Linked DNA regions of Anolis sagrei. The protein of the gene in region 2 interacts with the protein of the main gene of each other region in a biochemical or structural test. Links are inferred from orthologs where the notes say so. Each region holds a gene or a part of one and is shown on either strand. Other genes may lie near its edges. The genes, in order: DAB2 and MYO6.

Region 1 (15,037 bases), on a different chromosome or scaffold from region 2:
TTTGGTGGGCATTGACCTTGAGTTTTGGAGTTGTAGTTCACCTACATCCAGAGTGCACTGTGGACTCAAACAATGATGGATCTGGAGCAAAGTTGGCACAAATACTCAATATGCCCAAATGTGAACACTGGTGGAGTTTGGGGAAAACAGATCTTGACATTTGGGAGTTGTAGGTGCTGGGATTTATAGTTCACCTACAATCAAAGAGCATTCTGAAACCCACTAACAATAGAATTGGGCTAAACTTCCCACACAGAATCCCCATGACCAACAGAAAATACTGTGTTTTTTATGGTCTTTGGCAAGCACTTTGACACCCACTTGCGACCTCCCCCTAGGGTTCCTAACCTCCAGGTTGAGAAACACTGCTATAGTACAATTACAGACACAGTGCTGTGGTGGTTTACGTTGCTCCCCTGAGAATTGAAGAGCAGGATTATACTCTCACCTAAGCTATGAAAATCACTGCCAATTTGGGCCAGACCCTCTCTTGGCACCTGATATGCCTCACATGACTGTTGTGAATGTAAAGTAAGGAAGCCAGAGAGGTACATGTGCTACCTTCACTTAACCAAAGGAAAAGTAGGATATAAACATAAATAGTGAATAAACATAAACTTTATCTTGTGGACCATCTTCTTTAAATCCCAGCTGACTCTGTTAAGGGCTTAGTTCTCTGGCTATTAGCAATCCTCATAACACCTTTAACTCTCCTGACTACACCTGTGGGGTAGAGGTCACCAGTCCCTCCTCTTGCAGGTTTTCTTTCACACTCTGCAGAAGCACATTTCTATTTTAGGGCCAGCAGCGTTTGGCTCTCTCTCCTATTTCCTGACTGCAGCCAGAACTTAAGAAATGAATTCTGAGAATACTCCCAGGCAGAAAACCTTCCTAGGCATATGACTGGCTGGCTTCCTCTGTGGCCACCATCAATAGGAACCTAAGAGGAAGGCTGAGTTATGGGTTTGTTTTCTGCTTTTGTTTTTTGCACCTCAATAAGGTGTCTAACAAGTTGGGTGAGAATTTCCTCACCAATAAGCAGGTGATGGGGTTACGTTTGTAGGTTTTCAAATCCTATGCCACAGGCTCAAAACAGGCAACACGACAATCTTCAACCTTACAGGCACTTCCTTATTGACTACACAGTTAGCCCTCCATATTGATGGATTCTATTATCCACATCTTGAATGTATATACATATACACACACACAATCCCAAAAACAACCCTTGGTTTGGCCCTGTTATGTAATGGATACCATTTTACTATGTCAATGTATACAGTAGGTTTGAGCATCCATGCAATGAGCATCAATCCAATGCAACCTGAGCCCTGCTACATGCACAATGGAGGACCTTCTTGCGGCAACACCAGAGGCACTCCAAGTGGCCAGCTACTGGTCAAAGGACATTTAATCAACTACCAAGCTTGCAAACTCTGTTTTTGTCTGTTTGTTAAAAAATTGTTTAAAAATGTAATACAACTGTCTGGTTGCTACTGACACGATAAATAAAATAAATAAGCATCCATGGATTTTGGTATCTATGTGGGAGAGTTTCCTGGATCCAAACCTCTGCAGATACCAACGATCCTCTGTATGAATCTTGCATTCCCCAAACACTGTCTTAAGACCACTACCCTCCACAAAAATAGCAACTTCCAAGTATATTATCATGCATTTTATCAAAGTTTGTTTGTTTGTTTACTCTGAATTTATTCACTTCAAAATACATGGGTACTGGGTTGTGAGTGTTCCAGGCTGTGTGGCCATGCTCCAGATGCATTCTCTCCTGAATTTTCACCCACATCTATGGGAGGCATCCTCAGAAGTTGAGGGATCTGTTGGAAACTAAACCTCAATTGCCTAGTTTCCAATAGATCTCTCAACCTCTGAGGATGCCTCCCATAGATGTGGGAGAAACATCAGATGAGAATGCTTCTGAAACATGGCCAGGCAGCTCAGAAAACTCAAAACAACCCAGTGATTCTGGCCACAAAAGTTTTCAATTCATTCTGACAGTCCCTTATTAGCAAGATATATTTTCCCCTTCCTTGACTGGGTGAAATGGAAAGAAGAAGAAAAGCACGAGACTTTCAGGAAGGCTCCAGGACCTTTGAAAAGTTAATTGTGCTAAGTTTCCAAGCAACTTTTGCCAGGAGCAAACTCCCAAGACAATGCTAGCCTTCCTGGCTCAACCGTTTAGCCCTGGTCCAAACCCCTTTCAGCCGGTGTTTATTATTGGAGGAACAATTTACTATTGCCACCTGGCTTCCTTAAGTGAACTCCTGTTTGTTTTCACTTGAGTCTGAGGAATGTGCTGTCAAAGGCTTTCATGGCCAGAATCGCTGAGTTGCTGTGAGTTTTCCGGGCTGTATGGTCATGTTCCAAAAGCATTATCTCCTGACATTTAACCCACATCTATAACAGGCATCCTCAGAGGTTGTGAGGTTTGTCAGAATCTAGGCAAATGGGTTTTATGTATCTGTGGAATAATGTCCAGGGTGGGAGAAAGAACTCTTGCCTGCCTGAGGCAGGTGTGAATGTTGCAATTGGCCACCTTGCAGCTACAAAGCCTTGCTATTTCCTGCCTGGGGGAATCCTTTGTTGGGAGGTGTTAGCTGACCCTGATTGTTTCTTGTCTGGAATTCCCTTGTTTTTTGAATATCGCTCTTTATTTACTGTCCTGATTTTAGAGATGTGTAAAACTGGTAGCCAGATTTTGTTCATTTTCATGGTTGAAATTGTCTACATGCTTCCTGGATACAGCACATTATTTGAGAACACAGAAATGCTGGACCTCTCCAACAACTTCCATGTCAGACTACTCAGAGAAGCTATTGAAATCCACAAGCATGTGGACAATCTGGAAAAAAACCTCTAAAATCAGGACAGTAAATAAAGAGCAACACTCAGAAAACAGGGGATATCCAGACAAGAATCAACAGGGCCAGATAATACCTCCCAACAAAGGATTCACCCATGCAGCAACCAGCCAGGCTTTGATGTTGCAAGGCCATTCAATGCTAATCAATGTGGCCAATTGCAATATTCACACCTGCCTCAAGCAGACAAGAGTTCTTTCTCCTATGTGGACATTCACGGATATATAAACCCCACTTGCCTGGTTTCCAACAGACCTCACAACCTCTGAGGATGCCTGCCATAGATGTGGGTGAAATGTCAGGAGAGAATGCTTCTGGAAAATGGCCATACAGCCTGGAAAACTCAATAAACCCAACCAGAGGAATGATTTTACACCTGGGAGGAAGCTCTGCTAACTTCAGAGAGGTGGTTCTGCTCAGCAGGGACTACATCAGCCTTGAAGCTTATCAGGAGTCCATATTTAAGGCTCACTTAAGCCGCTCGGCACCTTTAAAGATGTGGCATGAGTTTCAAGGAGGCTATAACTCTCCCTCTGATAGTCCTGTTGTATCAAACTTCTAGTAGTCTCTCTCTCAACGTGAAGGCATTCTTGACCCCCTGTCACTTAATTGCGGCCTTGTTCTATTTCACTCCCTTTCATTTGTATACATTAGCCTGCCATTTCCAAGGCTTGTTTATTTTCCTTGGGCTTTGCAGGCCTGCTGTCAACCCTCTCCAAATTGGCAAAATCCTCTCTCTTTTTTGTTTTGTTTTTAAGGGTGGTACTTTACTTTCCAGGCAGCTTTTGCTAGGACATTCCTGCCCAGTCCAAGTTTCCTAGCCTTTACACACAGGCAAACACACCAGGCCCACGTCTCCCTCGCGCCCCATTCATTTCCCCCTTCCTTCCTTCCTTCCTCCCTTCGGCCTCCCTCCCCAACACCCAACTTGGCCAAGAGTCCTGAATTCCTTAAGAGAGAAAGCTCCCTCTCAGCAATTTTCTGGCATTTAGGGAGACTTTGAGAAACCTGGAAAGGAGAGAAAGGGGAGAGAGTGTCTTGGGTGTTTGTAGACCTCGCACACTCTATCCCAGGAATGGGCCAACTTGGGTCCTCCAGGTGTTTTGGACTTCAACATCCACCATTCCTCACAGCCTCAGGCCCCTTCCTTTTCCCCTTCAGCCGCAACTTGGGTCCTCCAGGTGCTTTGGACTCCAACTCCCACCATTCATCATAGACTCAGGTCCCCTTTCTGCCTCAGCTGCAACTTGGATCCTCCAGGTGTTTTGGACTTCAACTCCCATCATTCCTCACAGCCTCGGTCCCCTTCCTTTTCCCCCTCAGCCACAACTTGGTTCCTCCAGGTGTTTTGGACTTCAACTCCCACTATTCCTCACAGTCTCGGTCCCCTTCCTTTTCCCTCTCAGCCACAACTTGGGTCCTCCATGTGTTTTGGACTTCAACTCCCATCATTCCTCACAGCCTCAGCCCCCTTCCTTTTCCCTCTCAGCCACAACTTGGGTCCTCCATGTGTTTTGGACTTCAACTCCCACTATTCCTCACAGCCTCGGTCCCCTTCCTTTTCCCTCTCAGCCACAACTTGGGTCCTCCATGTGTTTTGGACTTCAACTCCCATCATTCCTCACAGCCTCGGTCCCCTTCCTTTTCCCTCTCAGCCACAACTTGGGTCCTCCATGTGTTTTGGACTTCAACTCCCATCATTCCTCGCAGCCTCAGCCCCCTTCCTTTCCCCCCTCAGCCACAACTTGGGTCCTTCCAGGTGCTTTGGATTTCAACTCCCACCATTCCTCACAACCTCAGGCCCATTCCTTTTCCCCCTCAGCCACAATTTGGGTCCTCCATGTGTTTTGGACTTCAACTCCCACCATTCCTCACAGCCTCAAGTCCCCTTTCCCTCTCAGCTGCAACTTGGATCCTACAGGTGTTTTGGACTTCAACTCCAACCATTCCTCATAGCCTCAGGCCCCCTCTTTTTCCTTAAGTGGCTGAGAGGGAGAAGGAAAGGGCCTGAGACTGTGAGGAATGGTGGGAGTTGAAGTCCAAAACACTTGGAGGCCCAAGTTGGCCCATACCTGACCTATCATCACAATAGAGAGAAAAAATCCACTTAAAATCCTACAGAATTCTGGGATTTGTAGTTTAGTGAGTTTGTTAAAGGCTCCTCCTTCCACTGCAAACGCCACAATTCTGCAGGAGGCAGAATCCGGATTTTAGGTGGATTTTTTCTCTATTATGTTGAAGCAGCTCAGAAAAATTACTCAGCATAGGAGGGTGAAGGCCAATATAGTGGACCCAGGTATCCGCTAGGCTTGGGTTCCAGGACCACAATGGATACCCAAATCCGTGGATGCTCAAGTCTCCTGGATGGTGTGGCTGTCCTTTATGCTTCCAGCATGGATGGTGGGATCCGTGGGCGCAGAATCCGTGGTCACGGAGGGACAACCGCGCTTGCCTTTGGGCCCAACGAAGTCAATGGGAAAGGTAGCTCCCAACTCCTCCCCCGAACAGCCACAAAGCCAGGCTTGAAAGTGCAGTTCTTTAAACCCTATGTGAAAGCGGAAAGGTGTCACTTGAAGGTATTCCGATGTGAAGGCCGCAAGGGTGGCTCCCGAACCCCGGAGTCTCCCGCAAAGAAGGCGTCCTCCGAGCCCACCCGCTGGCCCCAGCCCCTCCGGCGCGGGACTTACGCGAAGCCTAAGGGCGATCCGCTGGGCGCATGACCCTCCTCCTCCTCCTTTTCCGACCACCCGGCAGCCGGCAAGTGAGCTGTCAGGGCGCGGGGCGCTTAAATAGCCGCAGCCTCCTCCCGCTCCTCCTCCTCCTCCTCGTCGTCGTCCTCGGCCGCCCAGCCACTCCGGGCCCGCGAGGCTGGTTTTAATCAGAGGCTGGCAGCTGAGCGCGGCCCAGGAATGCGCCGCCCTCCTCTCGCCGCCCCTGGGCTCCCGAGGCTCCCCCGCGGCAAGGCCCACGCTTAACCCTCGCCGCCCCGGAGGAGGAGGGAGAAGGAGGAGAGGAGGAAGAGGACAGGGAGGGAGGAGGAGAAGGAGCAGGAGAGGACAAAAGAAGGAAGGAAGAGAGGAAGAGGTAGAAGAGAAGGAGAGGAAGGAGTGGAGAAGGAAGGAGGGGAAGAGGAGAAAGAAGGAGTAGAGGAAGGAGATGAGAGGGAGAGAGGAGGAGAAGGAGTAGGAGAGGACAAAAGAAGGGGGAGAGAGGAAGAAGTAGAAGAGAAGGAGAGGAAGGTGTGGAGAAGGAAGAAGGAGATGAGGAGAAAGAAGAGAGGGAGAGGAAAGAAGGAGGAGTAGAGGAGGAAGATGAGAGGGAGAGAGGAGAAGGAGTAAAGGAGGGAGAGGGAGGGAGGAGAAGAAGGAGTAGGAGAGGACAAAAGAAGGGGGAGAGAGGAAGAAGTAGAAGAGAAGGAGAGGAAGGTGTGGAGAAGGAAGAAGGAGATGAGGAGAAAGAAGAGAGGGAGAGGAAAGAAGGAGGAGTAGAGGAGGAAGATGAGAGGGAGGGAGGAGGAGGAGTAGAAGAGGATGAACCCAATAAAGGAAAGAGAAGAAGATGAAGAGGAGGAGGAAAAAAGAAGTAGAAGAAGAGAAGGGAGGAAGAAGTAGAAGAGAAGCAGAGGAAGGAGTGGAGAAGGAGAAGAGGAGAAAGAAGAGAAGGGGAGGAAAGAAGGAGAAGAGGAGCAGAGGAGGAAGATGGGAGGGAGGAGAAGGAGTAGAAGAGGACAAACAGAATGAAGGAGGAGAGAAAGGAAAAAGAAGAGGAGGAAAAGAAGTAGAAGAAGAAGAGGGATGAAGAAGAAGAAAAGGAGAGGAGGGAGAAGAAGAGAAGAAAGACGCGAGGGACAGGAAAGAAGGAAAAGAAGGAGTAGAGGAGGAATAGGAGAGGGAGGGAGAAGGAGGGGAAGAGAAAAGAAGAGGAAGAGAAGGAATGAGGAATGGGAGGAAAGAGAAGTGGAGTACAAGGAGGAAAGAAAGGTAGAAGAAGAGAAAGAGGAAGGCAAAGAGGAGGAATGAGAGGAGGTAGAAGAAGAAGAGAATGAGAGGGAAGGAGGAAAAGTAGTAGTGGAGGAAGAGGAGAGGGAGGGAAGAGAAGAAGGAGTAGAAACTACCAAAATTCCACAGAATGGAGCCATGACATTGGAAAACTACACTAATAGGAGTGTGGATACTCCCACTATACATGTTTATCTTGTTCAGTGGATGGCTGCTAGTCATAATGACTACATATTACTTCCAGCAATGGGTTAAACACTTGTGCTGGCAGTAGGTTCAAATCCAGGGAGCGGAGTGTGCTTCCATCTGTTAGCTCCAGCTTCCCATGTGGGGACATGAGAGAAGCCTCCCACAGGATGGTAAAACATCAGGGCGTCCCCTGGACAACATCCTTGCAGACAGCCAATTCTCTCACACCAAAAGCGACTTGAAGTTTCTCAAGTTGCTCCTGACATGAAAAAAAAACTTCATCATTGAAGGCAAGGTACTTCTCAACACCAGCTGATAGGCTACCATGAGGATGTTAGTGCACTCCTGTCACATTTGTGGGGTTCCTCTAGACATCTGGTGAGCTGCTATGTGAGCAGAACATTACACTAGATAGACCTTTGGCTGTAGTGGGTGCATTACAACACTCCACGCAGTGTGACTCTGGCCTTACAGGAAACAGGATAGATTCAAAGAACTGGAACCCAAATGTCCACAATCCCTGCCGACTTCCTTTGGAAATAGATCAGACAAAGTCCACCAAGTCATTTTTAAAGAGTCCAACTCAACACATAATTCTGGCTTTTGGACATGCAATGGAAATATATATATACACATATTAGTGAATCACATAATTCCCAACCCCAGGTTGATTGCCTTCTGCAAATCATTGCCAACCAAAAAATAAATAAATTAAAAAATATTCAAATAGATATACTTAGCAATCTCCAGGTCACTTCTGCCTTAACCATTTTTTCTCAGGTATGATAAGTATGAGAAAAATGCTCAGATACTGGTGTATGTAAATGCATTTGGGCCATTCTGAACAAAATCAGAATGTCAGTATTGCACGTAGTAGTGAAGCTACTACTCATGAAACCTTTTGATTGAGATAATAGATGCTTGATAGCAATTCTTTTTTTCAAAAATGCTACAAGACACACCATATTCTATGGGATTTTTTTAATGTCCTCGTGGCTTGACAGGCATAATGCTAAATGTGTGATACAGAATGCAATGACTGGCCTAAATGCAATGCCAAACATGATAACTGCTGACAGATCAGCTTCCATCTGAGGAATCCTGAATGCAGCAGCCTGCCGTGCACTGAAAAACCTGGTTAGGGAGGCTAGGAACTCCCTCAGAATCAATCTTCAAGCAGTAACAGAAATACTTAGAAGCAAAGAACCTCTGATTAGTATGAAGTTATAGCCAGATGTGTGATACATCAGCTAAAATGGCTATTGCAATTCTAGATTGCATTGACATTGTCTAGACCAGGCCTGGACAGCCTGTGGCCCTCCAGTTGTTTGAGCTTCCAACTCCTAGAAGGCCTAGCCATCTTGTCCAATGGTCAATTCTGGGAGCTGAAATCCAAAACACCTGAATGATGTCTTGATGAAACAGAAGAGCTATCTGGCTGAGGATTCTACGGCCCCTTCTACACAGCTGTATAAAATCCACATTGAACTGCATAATATGGCAGTGTGTGCTCAGATATTCCAGTTCAAAGCGGATATTGTGGATTATTTGCCTTGATATTCTGGGTTATATGGTTGTGTGGAAGGGCCCTGGGGGTCTCTTATTCTACTATTGCATTTGGAAGGAAGTGAAATATACTGAGAAAGCTTAGACACATCCTCAATGTTGCAAGCTCTTTACATATCACACAGCTCATTAAAATAGCAGACTGATGCACTGTAGCGGATCATGTATAAATGAACAGGTATACAGGTGAAGCCCCAGTCTGATTTTCATCTCTACTATTAATTCATTAGGTAGCCTTAAATAAGTCAGTCTCTGGGTTCATCTATACTAGGCATGGGCAAACTAAGGCCTGCAGGCTGGACACAGCCCTCTGCACCCTTATGTCCGGCCCTCAACATTTCCCACAACCTCTGGGCATAAGGATGTGGCTGGCTGCCGAAAAGATGAGGGAGGAAGACATGTGGTGTCTGGGAGCCCTCCAGAGTGCTTTCAGTTGCTGCATGTCTTTCTTGGGCCCTCCTCATGGCCCAATGCTGGTCTGGGTGAAGAGGCAAGCAGTGGGTGAAGTGGCTTCAAAACCACCTTGTCTGTCGCTTGCCTCTTCTTTCTCCTGGCATCAGGAGGAGGTGAGGCTGCAGCCTTATGCCAGGAGAAGCCCAGCCCGGGAAAAGAGGCAGGTGGCAAGTAAAGCAGTTGCAAAGTCACCTCAGATACCTTTCCCTTCTCCTGGTGTCAGGATGAGGTGAGGCCCCGTCTGATGATGGCAGAAGAGATAGGCAGGTGGGGAAGCCTCATCTGCCTCCTAGCATAAGAATGGGGTGAGCAGCTCCATCCTTATGCTCAGAGGAAAGCATGAAGATGATCGGCCCCTGGCTCCTCCCCTCCCCACCCCTCTTCCATCCCTCCTGGGATTGCTTTGCCCTGGCCCCGCCCCTCCCAGGTCCACCCCACCCCCAGTCTTGCCTTCTCCATGGCCTGCTCCGCCCCCAGCCCCACCTCCTTCTGAGCCCACCTCACCCTTCCTCCTGGTCTTGCCATCCCTCCTTGCCTGTTCCTCCGGGCAATGTGGCCCCAGGGCAAAAAAGTTTGCCCATTCCTGATCTATTCTGTAGAATGAATGACACTAGTATAACTGCCCTGGCTTAACATCATGGAATATTGGGATTTGTGGTTTAGTGATGCACCAGCACTTTTTGACACAGAAGACTAAAGAGCTTGAAAATTGAGTTGCCTTTAGTCCATGACACTGCAGTTGTCAAACTGCATTAATTCTACAGTCTAGATGCACTCTCAGTCTCCACCTCTATGCACAACATGGGGGTGGAGGGAGTTTTTGTTTAACAGGATTGTTTTAGAAAATATAACTAGAAAATAGAAGTTACTGTATATACTTGAGTATAAGCCTAGTTTTTCAGCCCCTTTTTTAGGCTGAAAAAGCCTCCTTTGGCTTATACTCAGGCAAGGGTCCTGGTGGGAAGGCCTGGGGTTGAAAGAAGGGCATCTTTTAGCCCCACGCCTTTCTTGCAGGACCCTCACCACTCCGCACAGCAATCCAGCTCTCCTTCCTCTCCTCTTCTCCTGCGCAGCACACACCTTCCTCTCTCAGTGCGGTGTGTGCCTTCCTCTCCACCTCTCTTGGTGCCAGTCTTTCCCACTTTTCCTTATTCATACACACACAGTATTTTCCACAAACTGTATAGTTAAAATAAACTATGGTCATTATTGGAAGGATATGCAAATACATTTACACTGAAGAAGGTTAGAAAAATGATTTAATCAGAGTTGGACAGTCTTATCTTAAATTACAGCTTTATATAAATATTCAAAAACATTTAACCTACTGATGCCTCAATTAATGTAGTTTTATTGGTATCTATTTTTATTTTGATATTTACCAGTAGCTGCTGCATTTCCCACCCTTGACTTATACGCGAGTCAATATGTTTTCCCATTTTTTTGTGGTAAAATTAGGTGCCTCAGCTTATATTTGGGTCAGCTTATACTCGAGTATATACAGTAATTGATTTGGCCAGCTGAGAACATTATATGTGTCTCTGTGTGTGTGTATGAAATGCTTCCTCTTCCCTGTCCTCTTCCTCCTTTCCAGGGCTATAATTTGCCATATATGAGAAATCACATGGGGGATTTGTTTTAGTAACAAATATACATGCAGAACATGAATGAAAGTATACTGACCGCCCTTCAAGGCAGACAATGCCCCAGAGAGCCACCTGGGCAGCCTTCCAAGACTGCACCCTTACTCTGAGCTAGGTCTGGTTGGAAATGTTCCGTTCTCTTTCTTTTTCACACTTTGTGTCCTGAATTTCCAGTTACTCACTTAATTTGTCTCTTCTGGGCTGAACATTACCTTCTTCGGATTGAGTTAAGCACAAAAATAAGTTTTTAACCATTTTGTCCTCACATACAAGGATGCATATTCTCCCTGTTACAAGAGAAATTGAATATACTCAACTCTCCACATTAGCGGTTTTGACCGCTAATTTGATTATTAATGGATTTGATTAAAATGTTCTTTCTAGGAATTTCTCGGTGCTCCAATACAATTCTGTTATCAGCTTCCAGCTGAAGTTGACTTTTGAATCATGCTGGAGGATCTAGAACAGTGGTTCTCAACCTGTGGGTCATGAGATGTTTTGGCCTTCAGCTCCCAGAAATCCTAACAACTGGTAAACTAGCTGGGATTTCTGAGAGTTGTAGACCAAAATACCTGGGGACTCACAGGTTGGGAACCATTGAACCCTATAAGTATTATCTCAAGCAAGTAGTAGTAGCAGCACTAGTAGTAAGATTGATATAATATTAATAGATAAGTAACTTGATAGAAATGGCCATTTTAATTCATGATTTCTCACTTTCATGGAGTCCTGCATCCTAAACCCAAGACCGACTTTATTTCTTTGCAGCCTTCTTCCCCTATCAGAATGTTCCAAACTGCTGCAGAGGAATTTTGCAAAGAATAAAACGGGTTTTGTGCAGAAAATCTGTTTTATGTGTAGGAAACCCCATTTCTGAGCAGAAAACTTTAGTAGGAGCTGGAAATCTGATACTGAAACCCAAGGATTTGCTAACTGATAGTTACACTGGGCTTGTGTACACTCTAAAAGTTCTCAAATGTGTGTGTTTGTTCAGTAGTATAGCTCTAGTGGGTATTTAAAATATTTTAAAACAGTAGTTCCTAATCACTAATGAAGATAGTCATTCTACACTTTTAGCGGTTCAAAACATAACTTGGATCATAATGTTATTGGCATGATTTGTGGATACTGGATTATTTGTATTTATAGTCCATTTCATACTTTTAAAAAAACCATTCTCTGTTTAAAAGCACCTAGCTGTTCCCTGGCTTTCCCATCTCTATAAGAAAATGACAAAATCGCAGACTTCCTTCCATTACACAATGTATGTTTAGAACAGTGGTTCCCAACCCCTTTTTGACCAGGGACCACTTTGTCCAGGGACCACTCTCCAACATTAGTACCAAAATGGTTACAAATCAGTTTTTGGTCAACTTTAGATTTGGTTTGGTTATTTGGGGTGCTGATTGAGAAAACTGCATTGGATAGACATCAGCTCTAGTTTCTGATACAGAACATATGCCTTCCAGTAGTCACCATCTGCTCACCCAGAAAATAATACCTAACCATATTTAAACTATGAGACCGGTCATTGCAACGGTGTAGTGACGGTGAGGCTGCACACCATATTTTAGTCCTTGTGGACTAAACTCCTTCTAAACCAGGTTGGGAACCACTGGTTTAGAAGGTGCAAGTTCATTGTTGAAAAATAATCCTCTTGGACATCAGTGGAATGCCTCCTTCATACAATTGTGTCAGAATTGAAACATTTATATATGTTAATCCAAACAAATAAACCAACCAGATGAGACACAGTTTTTCATCCATGGATTAAACACACTGGGCTTACTTGCTTAATGTGCTGTAAAGACAAAACTGCTAAGTAAGATCTTCTATCTTTGCAGTCTCCTGCAAAAGTGAGTCCCTAGAGCCATACTCCAAAGCCCTATCTTGATGATATGCACAATTAAACATGAGGATTGCACGTTTATCTTCCGTTATCAACTGGAGACTATCTATTTGTGGTTTATATTACATTTGTGTGTCTTACAGGCAGTAATAACAAATTTTCAAAGCTTGTGTGCATGTCAAACAATTACAGAGGATTTAAGTCAAGTGAGTAAGAATAATTATAGAAAATTAGTATGTAGGGGATTTTTTAAGGAGGCATGTTTAATAAGATTCCCCACCCACCACTCCAAAAAGATTTGGTGTGTCAGCAATAACTGGGATCATCTAGCCCTTAGAATAGGGTGGTAAGAGTTGACAAGGTTGAGCATTCCTTATCTAAAATGCTTGGAAACAGATATATTTCAGATTTTGAAATTTTATTTGGATTTTGGAATACCTATATTTGCATATTTGTACATAATGAGACATCTCAGAGATAGCACCCAAATCTAAATATGAAAATCATTTATTCTTACTTACACAGGGTGAGGATAATTTTATACAATATTTTTGTACATATAACAGTGTTTGTGTATCTTGAATCATTAGAAAGCAAAAGTGACATTCTCTGAGCCAACCATGTGGACAAATTTTTGTTAAGGGATGCTCAGCTGCTAGTACTAACATATGTTTATAGAGTCCACTCCTGCAAATGGAAACTCCATAGTGTGAATGAGCTGTTTGTAGAACAGTGAATTCCTTCCCATAACTGCTAAAGATATAGATGAAAGAATGTAATGACAAGAAGTAGGCAATTCTGGATAAGGGATGGCAAGATACTAAGCCATGTGATATATCTCCCAGCTTTAGAATTCCATCATGGATAGACAAATTGGAAGCCTATTTTTCTTACTTAAAATGAACGATGTCTTGGACTTTCAGGCAAAGCAAACCACTCAAGAGAATCCACAAAATGACTAGAGAAATATATATATATATTTTTTAAAAAATATTGTTCACAAAGAAAACATATTGTTATTTTTACATAGAAAGTGGAGAAACATTAAATTAATAAGAAGTAGTAAAAAAGAGAAAAAGAAAAAAAGAGGGGAGAAAAAATCCAAGTAAAACTAAAACTAAAAGCAACTTACAAAAAACACCCAAAAATCAAAGAAGAAGAAGAAGAAAAGGGGGGGGGGGATCCCATTGACTTCCATTCTGTGCCTCTGTCAATTATAGTTTTCTTGCTCTATAAATTAATGTATAGTTTGGGAGAAAAGAATAGACGTAAAAATTCCAAAGTTAGGTACAGTTTTTTTGTTTTTTTTTTCTTTCTCATATTCCTCAAAAGGAATCCAGTCTGTCTTTTTTTCTTAAACTTCCCGAGTTGTTTTTCAAGAGAAAAGTTAGTTTGTCCATGTCTCTGATTTCTCTTAGTTTGCCTAACCAATTATCAATGTCTGATATCTTATCCATTTTCCAAAGCTTCGCATAAGAGATTCTCTCTGCTGCTGATATATATGTGCTGTCATGCGCTGGGCCTATAGCAATTGGCTTTTGAACAGGACGTGCTCTTTGTGCCCAGCGGGAAGCCAGGGTGCCTCAGCCAAGAGGCTCTAAGGATTTTCCTATACAAAGTCTTTAGAAGCCTGAAAAGTTTAACAAGGTCCTTTATTATTATTATTATTATTATTATTATTATTATTATTATTAACTTTATTTGTACCCCGCTAGCATCTCCCGAAGGACTCGATGCGGCTTACACGGGCCGAAGCCTCAAAACACAATACAATAGAAAACATTGTTGTTGCTTAGGTCTTCAACAAAACAATCAAATACTTCTCAGATCTTCAACAGGTCAAACAAATACTTCAAGGCTTTGAATCAACTGGTGGCTTTCTTAATCTTGTCCACAAGGAACAGGCAACTGGCTTCGTGAACTGTTTGTTTTCTTTAAGAGGAAAACCCTTTTTAACCCCTCCTTGGGCAATCTACTTTCTAAACTTTGCTGGTGTGGGCTCTACTCCCAGCTTCAAACTGCTTCTTGGGTCCCGTGTAGACCTACCAGTCAAGGCTTTGTAAATTCTCCAGCTGGAGTCCTTTGGAACTGTTTTCCCCTGGAATTTCATAAGAAATGAAGCTTCTCTACAGGTGGAGCTGATTCACATCCTGTAGCTAAGCTTTCAACTGTAAGACTGAGCTAAAATGGCTCCCTTTCCTTCCTGAATCCTGGGGAAAGGGGTGGAACTAAAAAACCCAACGATGATAGGCAGGTGGCTGCAAACCAAGGGAAGCCACCTTATTGCAAAATGCATGGAACTTTGGAATGCATGCAAACACTCAAAGGAAAAAAAGGAAGTTGGAGCTCCTGGTACAGCCATACCAGCACAATATAAGTACATAAAATGTCCTTATTTTGGTCCAAGATTAGCTCTGAGTCCATAAAGCCTAGTAAGTAATATTCCAGTTTTCTTGG
Region 2 (14,918 bases):
TATCCACTGGAGTTTGGATACTGAGGGATCCTCTGTGGAAACTTAAATCTATGGATGCTTAAGTGTCACTATATACAATGGCATTGTAAAATGGTGTCCCTTGGATAAAATAGTGCAGAACTATAATGAGAGATTGAGGATGTATGACAGTGGTTCTCAACCTGTGAATCCCCAGATGTTTTGGCCTTCACCTCCCAGAAATCCTAACAGCAGGTAAACTGGCTGGCATTTCTGGGAGTCAACTTATCCACAGATCAATGTGTGTACTGTATCTTATCTCTTATCAAAAAAAACAAACCATCTCCTTCTCTGAGTAAAGAGGCAAAGAGCTTAGACCATTGCAGGAGACCCTAAAAAAAGCACTGTCCCCCTTTACTCGCCCTTTTGGCCATTTTAAATACCTGGTCAAAGACATGATGGTAGCAGTAGTCAGAAGTGGCTGTTCCCTTCAGATAGCATTGACACATTCCCCTCTCTGCAGAATGACCCTCAACCTATCCATGAGTTATATCAAAACCCATTAATTTATGCCCCAAAACCTGACCTCGACTTATGCATGACGTCAACTTATATATAAGTAGTACATATAGTAATTTTAGCATTACTTTCCAATTATTTCTGAGCCATGGTTGATTGATATAGAACCTGTGAATATTGAGAGCTGACTGTAACCAAGCTATTTGTAGTCCCCTCAATACCTCCATCTAACACAGCAGACATGGAGAATCCTAGACACTAAGCAGTGGTTCTCAACCTGGGGTCCCCAGATGTTTTTGGCCTACAACTCCCAGAAATCCCAGCCAGTTAACCATCTGTTAGGATTTCTGAGAGTTGAAGGCCAAAAACATCTGGAGACCCTAGGTTGAGAACCACTGCACTAGAGGAAAGTAGTCTTCTCTGTTAGAAGATGTAACTTTCTCCCATGAGATGCCACATTATGGAACATAAATATTTAATCTACTCAGATGGCTACTCCTGCAATTTCCTTCCTCCATTATCCATGAAAAGTGTCATAGGCAATGCTATCCAAAGTAGTGCACCCTCAATTGATTTGAGTTCCCAACACCATCCACGACTAGTCTTTGGGAGGGTACAAAAATAAAAAAATGAACTCAATTTAAACAAATATTCTACCAATTTTAGTTTGCTAAGGGCAAAAAAAAAAAAAAAGCGCTGATTCCTGGACATCAGCCTTCCCCAGTTTCCAAAATGTCCAGCACAAGTTGGGAATATTAGATAGACAAAAGGACCATCTTTCAAATTTGTCTGAGAAGTATTAATACACTCTTTTATAGCAAGCAACCTTTATAATTTTCAGTAGTTTTAGTAGTCATAGTTTGGGAAATAGTCACCGTTTTCTTGACACTTATCCAAAGAATGACAGGTTTCTGCTGGAGACTTGGATGCACCCAATGAAATGTGTGATTTGCTTTGTCTGCACAGCATATAATGTGCATTTTTTCCACCTTTTGTTTTATTGCCTTGTAAAAACCTTTTTGAAAAAAATTCAGGCAGGCCTTTGAATAATAAAGTGTTTTAAAAAATGAACCTGGGATGCTATAAGTTGTTTTTAACAATTTTACTTATTTGTTTTAATGCAATTGTAACTTAATTGTTTTAATAATTGTGAGTTCATATTTTGTAGGTTTTAAATCATATTAAGGTTGTGAGTAATTTTGGATCTCAATCTTGAGGTAAGTATCAAAAAAACATAAAATAAATAGAACTGAACAGAGTGTGGGAAGAGAGACAATGCCGAATATCCCTTGAGCTCAATGCGTTGGTTTCACAATGATTAGCTCGGTACATATCAATATAATACTAATTAATGTAACTAATATAATTTTGTTAACTATTTTGCATCCCATACTGCTGGAAAAGCTAGATATAAATTGAATGAAGTAAACAAACAAACATGTGCTATACTATACCGGTGGCGCAGTGGATTAAACTGCTGAGCTGCTGAGCTTGCTGACTAAAAAGTTGGCAGTTCGAATCTGGGGGAGTGGGGTGAGCTCCCACTGTTAGCCCCAGCTTCTGCGAACCTAGCAATTTGAAAACATGCAGATGTTAATAGATCAATAAGTACCGCTTTGGTGGGAAGGTAATGGCACTCCATGGAGTCATGGCGGCCACATGATGTTGGAGGCATCTACCAACAACACCGGCTCTTCAGCTTAGAAATGGAGATGAGCACCACCCCCCAGTCGGACACAACTAGTCTTAATGTCAAGGGGAAACCTTTACCTTTAATAACAATATTTAATCCAGATACCTTAAGGAAAAGTCAAGTCTTTCAAAAATGTTAAAAATCTCATGTATGAGAGACAGCGTGGCATAGTAGTTTGGGAGTCGGGGTAGGCTCTAGAGAACTGGGTTCAAATTTCTGTTTGGTCATGGCAACCCACCTTGACAAGTCTCACTCTCTCAGCCTCACAGGAAGGCAACGGCAAACAAACTTTACCAAGAAATTCATGAGAAAGGTTTGATTTGGTTGGCAATTATTTGAGTGAATGCAACAACAAACTATTTACAAACCAGCATAAACAGTCAACTGGTCCATCAGATCAGATCACTTTTTCATTCCTCTGACGCTATCAAATGACACAACTTTCCGTAAATTTCATACTCAAATTTGAACAGCACAGGACAAAGTATAGATGACTGATGCAGATACCATCTTACATGGACTGAACTTTAGCATCAGCAGCTGCACTGCTCAGAAGCAGGAGTATTTTTTTCAAGACTCATTATGCAAATTAATTTTACGTATATCCACAATTCACAAATCCATTTCTCAGGATTGGCTTTTTGAATTCCTGTTATCTTGACTTTTCACACTACAGCCTGTGGACTACAATGCAAGATACAGTTATCATAGAGATGCTACCAAAAATGACCTTATACTCTATTGTTTTGGAACAGTTATCTCACAGAACAAAGGATGCATCTCTACACTGCAGAATTAATGTAGTTTGACTCCACTTTAATGCTATGGGATCCTGAGATCTGTAGTTTGCCGAGGCACCAGCACACTTCGGCAGAGAAGGCTAAAGACTTGTAAATCAGTGTTTCTCAACCTGGGAGTCGGGACCCCGGGAGGGGGGGTGTCGTGAGGGGGTGTCAGAGGGGTCTCCAAATACCATCAGAAAACACAGTATTTTATGTTGGTTATGGGGGTTCCGTGTGGGAAGTTTGGCCCAATTCGTTCATTGGTGGGGTTCATCATGCTCTTTGATTGTAGATGAACTATAAATCTCAGCAACTACAGCTCCCAAATGTCAAGGTCTATTTTCCCCAAACTCCACCAGTGTTTACATTTGGGCACATTGAGTAGTTGGTGCCAAGTTTGGTCCAGGTCCATCATTGTTTGAGTCCACAGTGCTCTCTGGAGGTAGGTGAACTACAATTCCAAAACTCAAGGTCAATGCCCACCAAACCCTCCCAGTATTTTCTGTTGGTCAAGTTTGGTTCAAGTTATGTGTACCATATTCTGTATTCTGTATGCCAAGTTGGTTCAATCCTTCAAAAATTCCATTGTCGGTGGAGTTCAGAATGCTCTTTGATTGTAGGTTAACCATAAATCCCAGCAACTACAACTCCCAAATGACACCATTCCCCACCCCCCACCCCACCAGTATTCAAATTTAGGCGTATCAGGTATTTGTGCCAAATTTGGTCCAGTGAATGAAAATACATCCTGCATATTAGATCTTTACATTACGATTCATAACAGTAGCAAAATTACAATTATGAAGTAGCAATGAAAATAATTTTGTGTTTGGGGGTCACCACAACATGTGGAACTGTATTAAGGGGTCACGGCATGAGGAAGGTTGAGAAACACTGTTGCAAACAAAACTACAAGTCCCTTGATTCCATAGCATTGAGCCTTGGCAGTAAAAATGGTTTCAAACTGCATTCATGTCGCATTGTGGGTGTATCCTTGGTTTTAATGCATTTTATCTAAAAAGAAGATTGTTGCCTTTTCCCAGCGGAAGGGAAGTAGAGTGTTTCTCCTGTATGAAGCTCTGGTGTGCACCTGAAAGGACAGCAAAAGAGGAAACTTTCCAACCAGGGCTTATCTGCTCTTATCTGCTCCTCCTTGTACTGCAGGAAGTTTGTTCTGCCATAAATATGAAGACAGGAAAGCCTTACTTTCCCTCACCAGAAATCACACAGCGTTTCCTCTTCCTCTCCCCCGTCCCTTATTTTTCTCTCAGATGAAAACAGAGGGGTAGCAAAAGGACTTGGGATTCTCTGTTAACACACCAGACCCTCATGTTTCACATAAGTCATCACAGTCCGAATTGATTAGCAAATGCCAAGTTAATTTAAAGAAAGATCCAACTAGGGGTGCATCTACATGGTGGAATGGATTCAGTTTATTACGGTAGACTCAATTATTTGGATTGCTACATGCCTGATAAATGTAATTTCTGGTTGCTTGACAGCTACTATTCAAATAGGTCTAATTAATATTATACCCCAAACTCTGCATCGGCTTGATATTAATACTGAAATACATTAATTAATAGCATATTAAGACAACTAAAGACAAGCTTAAAAACAGCTATGTGGATGCAATGTTATTTCTTTGATTTTTATTTCCTGGATGCTTGAGTCTGCTAGGTAAAGGTTTCCCCTTGCCATTAAGTCCAGTTGAGTCCGACTCTGGGGGGTGGTGCTCCTCTCCATTTCTAAGCTGAAGAGCCAGCATTGTCTGTAGACACCACCAAGGTCATATGGCCAGCATGACTGCATGGAGTGCCCTTACCTTCTCACCGAAACTGAAGAACAGGAAACGTAATATTGGTGGACAGGAAAAGAGATTTAAAGATGGGCTTAAAGTCAACCTTAAAAACTGTGGCATAGACACGAGAACTGAGAAGTCCTGGCCATAGAGCACTCTAGCTGGAGGTCAGCTGTGACCAGCAGTGCTGTTGAATTCAAAGAGGCACAAATAGAGGGCGAAAGGGAGAAACATGCTAAGAGAAAGGCACATCAAGTCAACCCTGATCGGGACCACCTTCTACCTGGAAACCTATGTCCTCACTGCAGGATAGCATGTGAATCAAGAACAGGGCTCTACTGCCACCTACGGACCCACCGCCAAGACACTACTCTTGGAGGACCATCATCCTCTGGCTACAAGGGATCGCCTAAGCAAGTCCCGCCAAAGTGGTACCTATTGATCTACTCACATTTGCATGTTTTCAAACTGCTAAGTTGGAAGAAGCTAGGGCTAACAATGGGAGCTCACTCTGTCCTGTGGATTCGAACCACTGACCTTCTGGTCAGCAAGTTCTACGGCTTAGCGGTTTAACCCACTGTGGCCCCGTGTCTATTAGTCTACTAGTATATTATTATTTCAAGTGTTACAACATCTGCTCTCACACATCATAAGGCAATAAACACATATGCACTGTGCATTTTCTCCCAACTCATTCACTAATACCAGGTGACTACATCAAGTACGCAAACCGAATGGCAGTTGTATTTTTTCAGAACTGGAAAAGTTGCCAGCATATTTCTCCTTTGGTCAAGCCTTCAGCAACCCCTCCCTGTCACAATCACTTCCTTGCAAAGGATAATTACTGCGTTGTCGAAGGCTTTCATGGCCAGAATCACTGGGTGTTTTCCGGGTTGTATGGCCATGTTCCAGAAGCCACAGATGTGGCCAGAACATCAGGGGAGAATGCTTCCAGAACATGGCCATACAGCCCAGGAAAATCACAGCAACCCGATAATTATTGCATTTCAACCCAGTTCTGAAATTAAGTAGCAATAACTGCCAACCTGTGTTTCCTATGACAGAGTGGGAAGGCAAATCATCCCAGCCGGAAATGAGTTAAAAACTCAAAAGAACCAAGACCCTGACACTTCTAAGAGTAGGGCATACAAATAAAGATTCAATCATGTCTAGATTTAGAGCAGGCCTGGGCAAACTTTGGCCCTCCAGGTGTTTTGGACTTCAACTCCCACAATACCTAACAGGCTTTCTCTGCCCAAGAGTGCTGGTGCCTCACCAAACTACAACTCCCAGGAGCCCTTTGCATTGAGCCAAACTGCATTCATTACACAGTAGAGATCCACCCTCTTTCTGGATGGGTGTGTGCATATCTGTTTGCAATTAATGCAGTGTGACACCACTTTACCTACTATGGCTGAGTTCTATGGAGCCATGAGAGTTGTAGTTTGGTGAGGGACCGCGATTATTGAGCAGAGAAGGCACAAGGCCTTGTAAAACTACAACTCCCAGGATCCCTTAGCATTGAGCCAAACTGCATTCGTTCTACAGTGTAGATCCACTCTCTCTCTGATGGGTGTGTGCATCTATGTTTACAATTAATGTAGTATTCATGCCACTTTACCTGCCCTGGCTGAATGCTATGGAGTCATGGGAGCTGTAGTTTGGTGAGGGACCGCAATTATTTTTACAAGGCCCAAGGCCTTGTAAAACTACAACTCCCAGGATCCCTTAGTATTGAGCCAAACTGCATTCATTCTACAGTATAGATCCACCCTCTCTCTGGATAGGTGTGTGCATCTATGTTTACAATTAATGCAGTGTGACATTTCTATGTGACAGTGTGACATAGCTGAATGCTATGGAGTCATGGGAGTTGTAGGTTGGTGAGGCACCGCCAGTCTTAGACAGAGAAGGCCCAAGGCCTGGTAAAACTACAACTTCCAGGATCCCATAGCATTGAGCCAAAGTATCAAACTGAATTAACACTATACAATAATACTATAGCGTAGTGGGAGTTGTAGTTTTACAAGGTCTCTAGCCTTCTCACCTACAACTGCAAATCCCATGATCCAATAGCATTGATCTGAATTAATACTATACAATAATACTGTGGTGCAATGCTATAGCATCGTGGGAGTCATAGTTTTACAAGGTCTTTTCGCATTCTCAGGCCAAAGAGTGCTGGCGCCTCACCTACAACTTCAAATTTCAGGGTCCCATAGCACTGATCTGAATTAACACAGTATACAATAATACTATAGTGTCGTGGGAGTTGTAGTTTTGCAAGGTCTCTTGCCTTCCCAGGCCAGAGTGCTGGAGACTCACCTAAAACTACAAATCCCAGGATCCCATAGCATTGATCTGAATTAACACTATACAATACTAAAGCGTCGTGGGACTTGTAGTTTTACAAGGTCTTTTAGCCTTCTCAGGCCAAAGAGTGCTGGCGCCTGGCCTATAACTACCAACCCCAGGATTCCCACGGCAGTGCAAGCGGTGTCAAAACCGCATCAATGCCAGAGTGTAGAAAGTGCGCAACAACTTCTCCAGACCCCGAAGTTGGATGATTGGTTTGGTTGGACACCAAGATTGGCTCCAAATCTGATCAGAGGATAAGAGGCGAGCAAGAGAAACGTCAAGCAGAGAAAGGGAAGAAGGAAAGCGGCCAAAAGAGAGGAGAGACTCAGGCTGGAAAGAGGAGGGAGGGAAGGAGCGCCAAGCCCTGGGCCCCGAATGTATGGAGAAGCCGGGGAGAAAGGCACAGTCCATCTTGCGGGAGTGGGGGGGGGGGGGCAAAGGAAGAGGGATCAAAGGCCCGGTCTGTGCCCGGCTCCCCCTCCCGAGTTTACCTGCTTTGGTCGCAGCCACGGCGCGCGCTCTGTCCCCAGCTGATGCCGACTCGGCCCCGGCGCTGCAAGGATGTTCCTGCTGGGGCTGCCGCCGCCGAAGCCCCGCCCCCGCGTTCCAAAGGGAGCCAAGCCCGGCCGCGATTGGGCTCCTCCTTCCGTGACGTCACGGGAGGAGGAGCCAACCCCCCCCCCCCAGGAAGAGCAGCAGCGGTGGCTCTCTCCCCGGCCTGTGGTCAGAATGGTCATTCCCGGGAACTGAGCATGCGCAGTGCGAAGCACGAAGGTATGCGCCCTGAAGCGGGCATTCCACTCTTGGAGACCAGGTGAGCCTTACAACAACAGCAACAAAACTGTATTTATATACCTCTCTATCTCCCCGAGGGGACTCAGCGGTTTCCAAGTAAAATCATCAATACATACAGTGTGTACAACATAAACAAAAATTAACAATACAATATAAGCATTTAAAAAACCACAATAGCACATATATATTTAAAATGCAAGTGATTTCCAAATGAAAATTGTAAAGTGAAAAAAGTGAAGACAAATACATTTGATTCTATTTTAACCTCTGCATGTTGTGGTTTGAAGTTGCCCCAAGGGTGAGAATGGCTTGATTAGCATTTAATGGCCTTACAGCTTCAAGGCCTGGCTTCTTATTGCCTGGGGGAATCCTTTGTTGGGAGGTGATTAGCTGGCCCTTATATATAAACCCCAGTTTCCTAGTTTGCAACAGACCTCACAGCCTCTGAGGATGCCTGCCATAGATGCAGGCGACACGTCAGGAGAGAATGCTTCTGGAACATAGCCATACAGTCCAGAAAACTCACAGCAACCTAAAACAGGTATCCTTAAAATGTAGCCCTCCAGCTGTTTGGGCCTCCAACTCCCAGAAGCCCTAATGAGCTTGTTCAATTGTGAGGAATTCTGGGAGTTGAAAGCTGGAGAGCCACAGTTTTAAGATGCCTGACCTAGAACATTGTATTGTTTAGAATTCAGTGGTAAATGTCACTTTGAAGGCTTTCATGGCTGGAATCACTGGGTTGCTGTTAGTTTTCTGGGCTGTATGGCCATGTTTCAGAAGCATTCTCTCCTGATGTTTCACCTGCATCTATGGCAGGCATCTTCAGAAGTTGTGGGGTCTGTTGCAAACTAGGAAACTGGGGTTTATAGATCTATGGAAAGTCCAGGGTGGGAGAAAGAACTCTTGTCAAAAACAGGAGGATTCCAGGTAAGAAACAATGAGGGCCAGCTACTCACCTCTCAACAAAGGATTCCCCCAGGCAGAAAGCAGCCAGACCTTGAAACTGCGAGACAGCAGTTCTTTCTCCCACCCTGGACATTACACAGATATATAAACCTTGCCTGCCTAGTTTCCAACAGACCTCACAACCTCTCAGGATGCCTGACATAGATATGAGAAGAATGTCAGAAGAGAATGCTTCTGAAACATGGCCATACATCCTGGCAAACTCACAGCAACTCAGTGGTAAATGTATTATATCTCCTGGTCCAAAAATACAAATAAAAATATGAGACCTAGAATAATAATAAAAAATATTGACACTGTTTATGGTTTTGGGTTTTGTTTTTGTTTGTTTTTCTCGTGTTAAGAGCGATTTGAGAAAATGCAGCTTGCTTCTGGTGTGAGAGAATTGGCCATCTGCAAGGACATTGCCCAGGGGACACCCGGATGTTTTGATGTTTTACCATCCTTGTGGGAGGCTTCTCCCACTGTTTATGTGTTGTGGGATGAAAACATGACACTATGTAACAAATTTGGAACTATGTTGTGTTCCTGGTTTGAAAATGTTATTTTCTGTTTAATTGTGTGGTACTTACTTTGAAAGTACTCGTTATACTCCAAACTTCGTTTTTGTGACTGCCAAAAATATGTTGAAATTGTTGAGACTCAATGAGATATTCTTGAAAAACTATAGTAAAATAAGCTACAGGGTGTCCTTTTCCATGTTTTAATGACAGAACCAATTAGGAAATGACATGTATAATCTGTGAACATCCTGCAGCTCCTCCACGATGACATGATGGCAACAGTCTTGAACAGCAATGGCTCCCAAAGTGACCCATTTAAGGTGGAATCAGGTTTCAAACAGGGATGTGTTATTGCCCCAACCTTATTTTCCATCTTCATCACTATGATACTTCATCTTGTTGATGGGAAGCTTCCCACCAGAGTGGAAATCATCTATCGGACAGATGGCAAGCTATTTAACCTCAGCAGACTGAAAGCCAAAGCCAAGGTCACAACAACATTTGTTGTAGAACTCCAATATGCTGATGACAATGTAGTCTGTGCACATTCTGAAGAAGACCTACAAACCACTCTAAACACCTTTGCAGAAGCTTACAAGAAGCTTGGCCTGTCATTGAACATCGAGTAAAGTGTTCTCCAGCAGTCACCAGCCAATCCCTCTACAATGACAGAAATACAGCTTAATGGTGTAACATTAGAAAATGTTGACCATTTCTGTTACCTTGGCAGCCATCTCTCCACAAAAGTCAACATTGACACTGAAAGGCAAAACCAGCTGAGCTCTGCAAGTGCAGCATCTTTCTGAATGAAGCGGAGAGTGTTTGAGGACTGGGACATCCGTAGGGATACCAACATGCCTGTTTATAAAGATATTGTCTTCCCAATCCTGTTATACGCCTGCAAAACATGGGCTGTCTACAGACATCACACAACTTCTGGAACAATTCCATCAACGTTACCTCTGAAAAAACCTGCAAATCTCTTGGGAAGACAGGTGGACAAATGTCAGTGTGCTGGTAGAAGCAAAGTCTACCAGCATTGAAGCGATGGTCCTCCACCATCAGCTCCACTGGACTGGCAACATTGTCCGAATGCCTGATCACCATCTCCTAAACCTGTTACTATACTCCCAACTCAAGAATGGGAAATGTAACATTGGTGGGCAGGAAGAGAGATTTAAAGATGGGCTTAAAGCTAACCTTAAAAACTGTGGCATAGACAGAGAACTGGGAAGCCCTGGTCCTTGAGCGCTCTAACTGGAGGTCTGCTGTGACCAGCAGTACTGCAGAATTCGAAGAGGCACGAATTGAGGGTGAAAGGGGGAAAGCATGCCAAGAAGAACCGCCTTCCACCTGGAAACTGATGTCCTCACTGCAGGAGAACATGTAGATCAAGAATAGGGCTCCACAGTCACCTACATATCCACCGCCAAGACACTGCACTTGTCATACTCAGACAAGGGATCACCTTAGTAAGTAAAACATGTATAAGCCAAGAACAAAAATCATGTTATGTAGCTCAAGGCATGTGCAAACTGTTAACAGTATTTTTTCATTGTTTCAAGCTTTTGTAGCCTAAATGAAGGCATTGCATGAGATGGGATTCCTTTGTATCTCATTTTAGGGGATTTCCTCCTTATTCTTGACATCTGCATTACAGAGTTTCTCCCCAAAATTTTTATTACTTGCCCAGCATACAATTCAGACATACTGTCTCGCCATGTCACAATGATGCACAAATAAATATACCAGGAAAGAAAGGGCAAATGTATATTGCATGCCATCATTGAGATGAAAAGGTACAAAGAGTGGAAGATCAAAGGAAGCAGATAATCCTATGCTTTGAGCAGAGCGGGTAGAGATGCCCTGTCCAGATCTTCCTGTTATTTAAACCAGTTCTGAACACGTTTGTTTTCTTTCGTCTTCACTTCTGTGAGTCAAGGCAGCCACTTTCAGCTACTTAGCTGACACACACATTTTTCAGTAATGGCAGATAATAGCATCCCTTTGACCCAGAGCCCGAAGTGGTGACATTAAATTGTTTCCCTCTCATAGAAGCATAGAGTTGGCCATCCAGCCCAACCCCCTTTGGCCATATAGGAATACACAATCAAAGCACTCCAGACAGATGACCATCCAAGCTCTGCTTGCAAACCCCCAGAAAGGAGATTTCACCACATGCCAAATCACTAGCAACTCCTACCATCAGGATGTTCTTTCCAATGTTTAGGTCAAATCCTTTCCCCTGCAGCTTGAATCCATTACCTAGGCCCTGGAGCAGCAGAAAACAAGGTTCTTCTATCTTCTAGCTAAATGAGCTGTCAGAATTCAAGAACTCAACTCAAGACCTTCTCTTCCAGTAGGCCTACCCAGTCAATATATTGTCGAAGGCTTTCATGGCTGGAATCACTGGTTTGTTTCTTTTTTTCTATTGAAATAGTTCAAATGCTTGTGGATTTCAATGGCTTCTCTGTGTAGCCTGACATGGCGGTTGTGAGAGTGGTCCAGCATTTCTGTGTTCTCAAATAATATGCTGTGTCCAGGTTGGTTCATCAGGTGCTCTGCTATGGCTGACTTCTCAAGTTGAAGTAGTCTGCAGTGCCTTTCATGTTCCTTGATTCATGTTTGGGCACTGCGCTTGGTGGTCCCTATGTAGACTTGTCCACAGCTGCATGGTATAGGGTAGACAGAAAGGAAGAAACCATGAAAATGAACAATATCTGGCTACCAGTATTAAAATATTCTAAAATTATAATAGCAAAGAAAGAACAACACTTAAACATGGGAAAACTCCAGACAAGAAACAATCAGGGACAGATGATCATCTCTCAACAAAAGATTCCCCCAGGCAGTAACAAGGCACATCTAAAAACTGTCAGGCCATCAACTGCTAATCAAGGTGGCCAATTGAAACATTCACAGCTAACTCCAACAGACAAGAGTTCTTTCTCCCACCCTGGAACTTCCACAGATATATAAACCCAATTTTCCTAGTTTCCAAGAGACCTCACAACCTCTGAGGATGCCTGCCATAGATGCAGGTTAAATGTCAGGAGAGAATGCTTCTGGAACATGGCCATATAGCCCAAAAAACCTACAACAACCTACCCCGAAAACTTTGAACCATGACTTTGGGATTTGAATTTCATTGCCACTGTTTTTTGATCTTTGTACTATTAGTTTTGGTGTATCTATTTTATAGTGGTGTGTTTTTATCAGGCAGGTAACAAATGAAATTTATTATCATCATTGTCATCGTCTCTCACCTATAACTGAAGCAGCAATCCCATTTTGTGGCCTTTCAGAAATCATAACAGAGAGGCAGCAAGTCCTATTAGCCATTTCCTTTATGAGTGATTTCATTCCAGGCATTTAAAAACGGCTTCCAAGGTGTGTTTGGGCAGGGTTCTTGCTCGAGCCAGGCATGCTTCACTAATGACACTGTTCATTCATGTGACATGCTCTGGGTGACGGAAACAAAATGATTCCTGCCAGGACAATTATGGTTAATCGCTTCTGCACCTCCACCTAGGTTTGTATTCACTTTGGTTTTCAGGCCATTCCAAATTCAGGAGGGGTTGAAACTTTTTTCCCTTCGAGATGACTTTTCAGGTCAGTGTGTCCTAATTTGGCACAAGATCTCAACAAGGCCCTGAAAGTACCATCATTGTGCAAAGGTTCTTCACGGGTAATAGGTCCTGAATTATTGCTCCCTCTTCAAGCCAGTTCTTGTCGGCCACAAAGGATAATAGTTTCTACAGTTGGCAGAAGCTTATTTATGTTTTCTTCTTTCTTATTTCCTTTATCATGATGACGGGTTGCAGACGTTTTCAGCCAAACACCAGTTGTTCTGATGATACTGTTTTTTGGTGTCTATTGAAGACTTCTATTGCATTTTCCATCACACAAATGGTTTAGCAACCAATGTACCAAGCTTCTAACCCAACTTCTCCTCCAAACACCATACAGTACTTCCAGAGTGCAACTTGTACATGAAATGAGTAGGCTAACCAGGGAAATCTACTAAACCATTTGGGTTGAAATCCCAAATATGTCTTCATATTCACAGGAAATACACATCCTGGCAATGGAGTTTGTGGATTTTGCACTAATTGAGCTTTCACTTGGTCATCAGAAACAGTCTTGTTCATATAAAGTCCAATAACAAAGCTTCTCTTTGTCCTGTTCCATTATTTCCTTGGCAGGGCTTGGATTAGATCATTGGTTTTCAACCTGTGGGTCTCCAGATGTTTTGGCCTACAAATCCCAGAAATTCTAGCCAGTTTATCAGCTGTTAGGATTTCTGGGAGCTGAAGCCCAAAATATCTGGAGACCCACAGGTTGAGAACCACTGGATTAGATGAACCAGTGGCAAACACCTCAGTTGCCTGCTGGCTACCACATTTTGGCAGCTTCCACTGCACTCACTTCCATTCTGTCAGTTATTGCTTCTATTGCAATGTAAATTGGTAGAAAGGTCATTAATGATAGTATGAATCAAAGTTTTGTTGAGCTAATGCTTATAGTTCTGGAGGCACTCTTGCTTCTCATGTGCTTGGCATGGAGATTTGGTTCACCAGTTAAAATTCATGAGTGAACAATGTTTTACTTTTGACCTGAAAATGTTCACAGGTGGTTTGAACCCCTAAATTGCCCCCTTGGCTACAGGCTTGGGCCACTCCCTTTGGTCTGCTTGTTTCCTTGTTACACCTTCAAAAAGAGCATTCAACAGAATAAGGAAGCCCTTTGATCTTGGTTATGAGGACTATTCAGGTCAGGATGTTGCATTAGTCTAGGTATATTACACTACCAGACAAAAGCTGGAGCAGAATTTTGTGAAGGCTTTTTGCCCTTCTAGTTCTGAAAAATAGAAGGAACTATTTATTCCCTTTCTTTTCCATGGATATTATGGTGTCTGGTATCTCCATTGGCCAGCAAACAGAGTTCAAGGACCCAGGTAACTTCAAGAGACAAAGAGCATCTAGGGAAGCCCTGCTTGTGACGCCCTGAACTTTTATGGCGTGCCAGTGGTGACACCATCATTATAAAATTCCTCAGACATCTAGCTTCCTCCCACTACCTTATCTTTTAGTGACAATTTTAAAGATCTGTACACACTTTTGTGGAATAAGCCAAATAGTTAACATCTTTTTGTTGCTGTGATAAAATATTAGTGCTAATTATTATATTCTTATAATAATTCATTGATTGTACAATTACTCAGTGTGAGTATTTCTGCATGTAAGAGGGTTTTTCCAAAGTCTTGTATTGTTTTCTCTTACAAGATTGCTTGTGGCATGAGCTAGTAGGAATAGAAACAAAACCATGGGAGCATGGAGAGGTTTTTGGCAGTCAGTGCTGCCCAAAGAAAGAAAGCACCAGGAAGGACACACTGAATCAGTCCTACTTACATTTGTACAGGCAATAAAGTAGGTTCCGGTGAGCCATACTGCTGACCACTTGCTGGCATGAGAAAATAGCTTACATATTTGAAGAAGCCTTTTGAGAACAGTCCGTAATCTGAACAACTCTCTGTTCCTCTG

What was found.
Region 1: the proteins of MYO6 (region 2) and DAB2 form a complex in vitro, tested with the Homo sapiens proteins (7 studies listed by BioGRID). The link is inferred for Anolis sagrei from reciprocal best matches to the Homo sapiens genes MYO6 and DAB2.

The regions. Positions count from the first base shown.
Region 1 is NC_090022.1:277,765,469-277,780,505, reverse strand, and holds the start of DAB2 (disabled homolog 2), read right to left. Parts: upstream 5,841-15,037; 5' UTR 5,570-5,840; intron 1-5,569. UniProt on the Homo sapiens protein: Adapter protein that functions as a clathrin-associated sorting protein (CLASP) required for clathrin-mediated endocytosis of selected cargo proteins.
Region 2 is NC_090021.1:110,726,386-110,741,303, forward strand, and holds the start of MYO6 (unconventional myosin-VI), read right to left. Parts: upstream 7,712-14,918; 5' UTR 7,603-7,711; intron 1-7,602. UniProt on the Homo sapiens protein: Myosins are actin-based motor molecules with ATPase activity. Unconventional myosins serve in intracellular movements. Myosin 6 is a reverse-direction motor protein that moves towards the minus-end of actin filaments.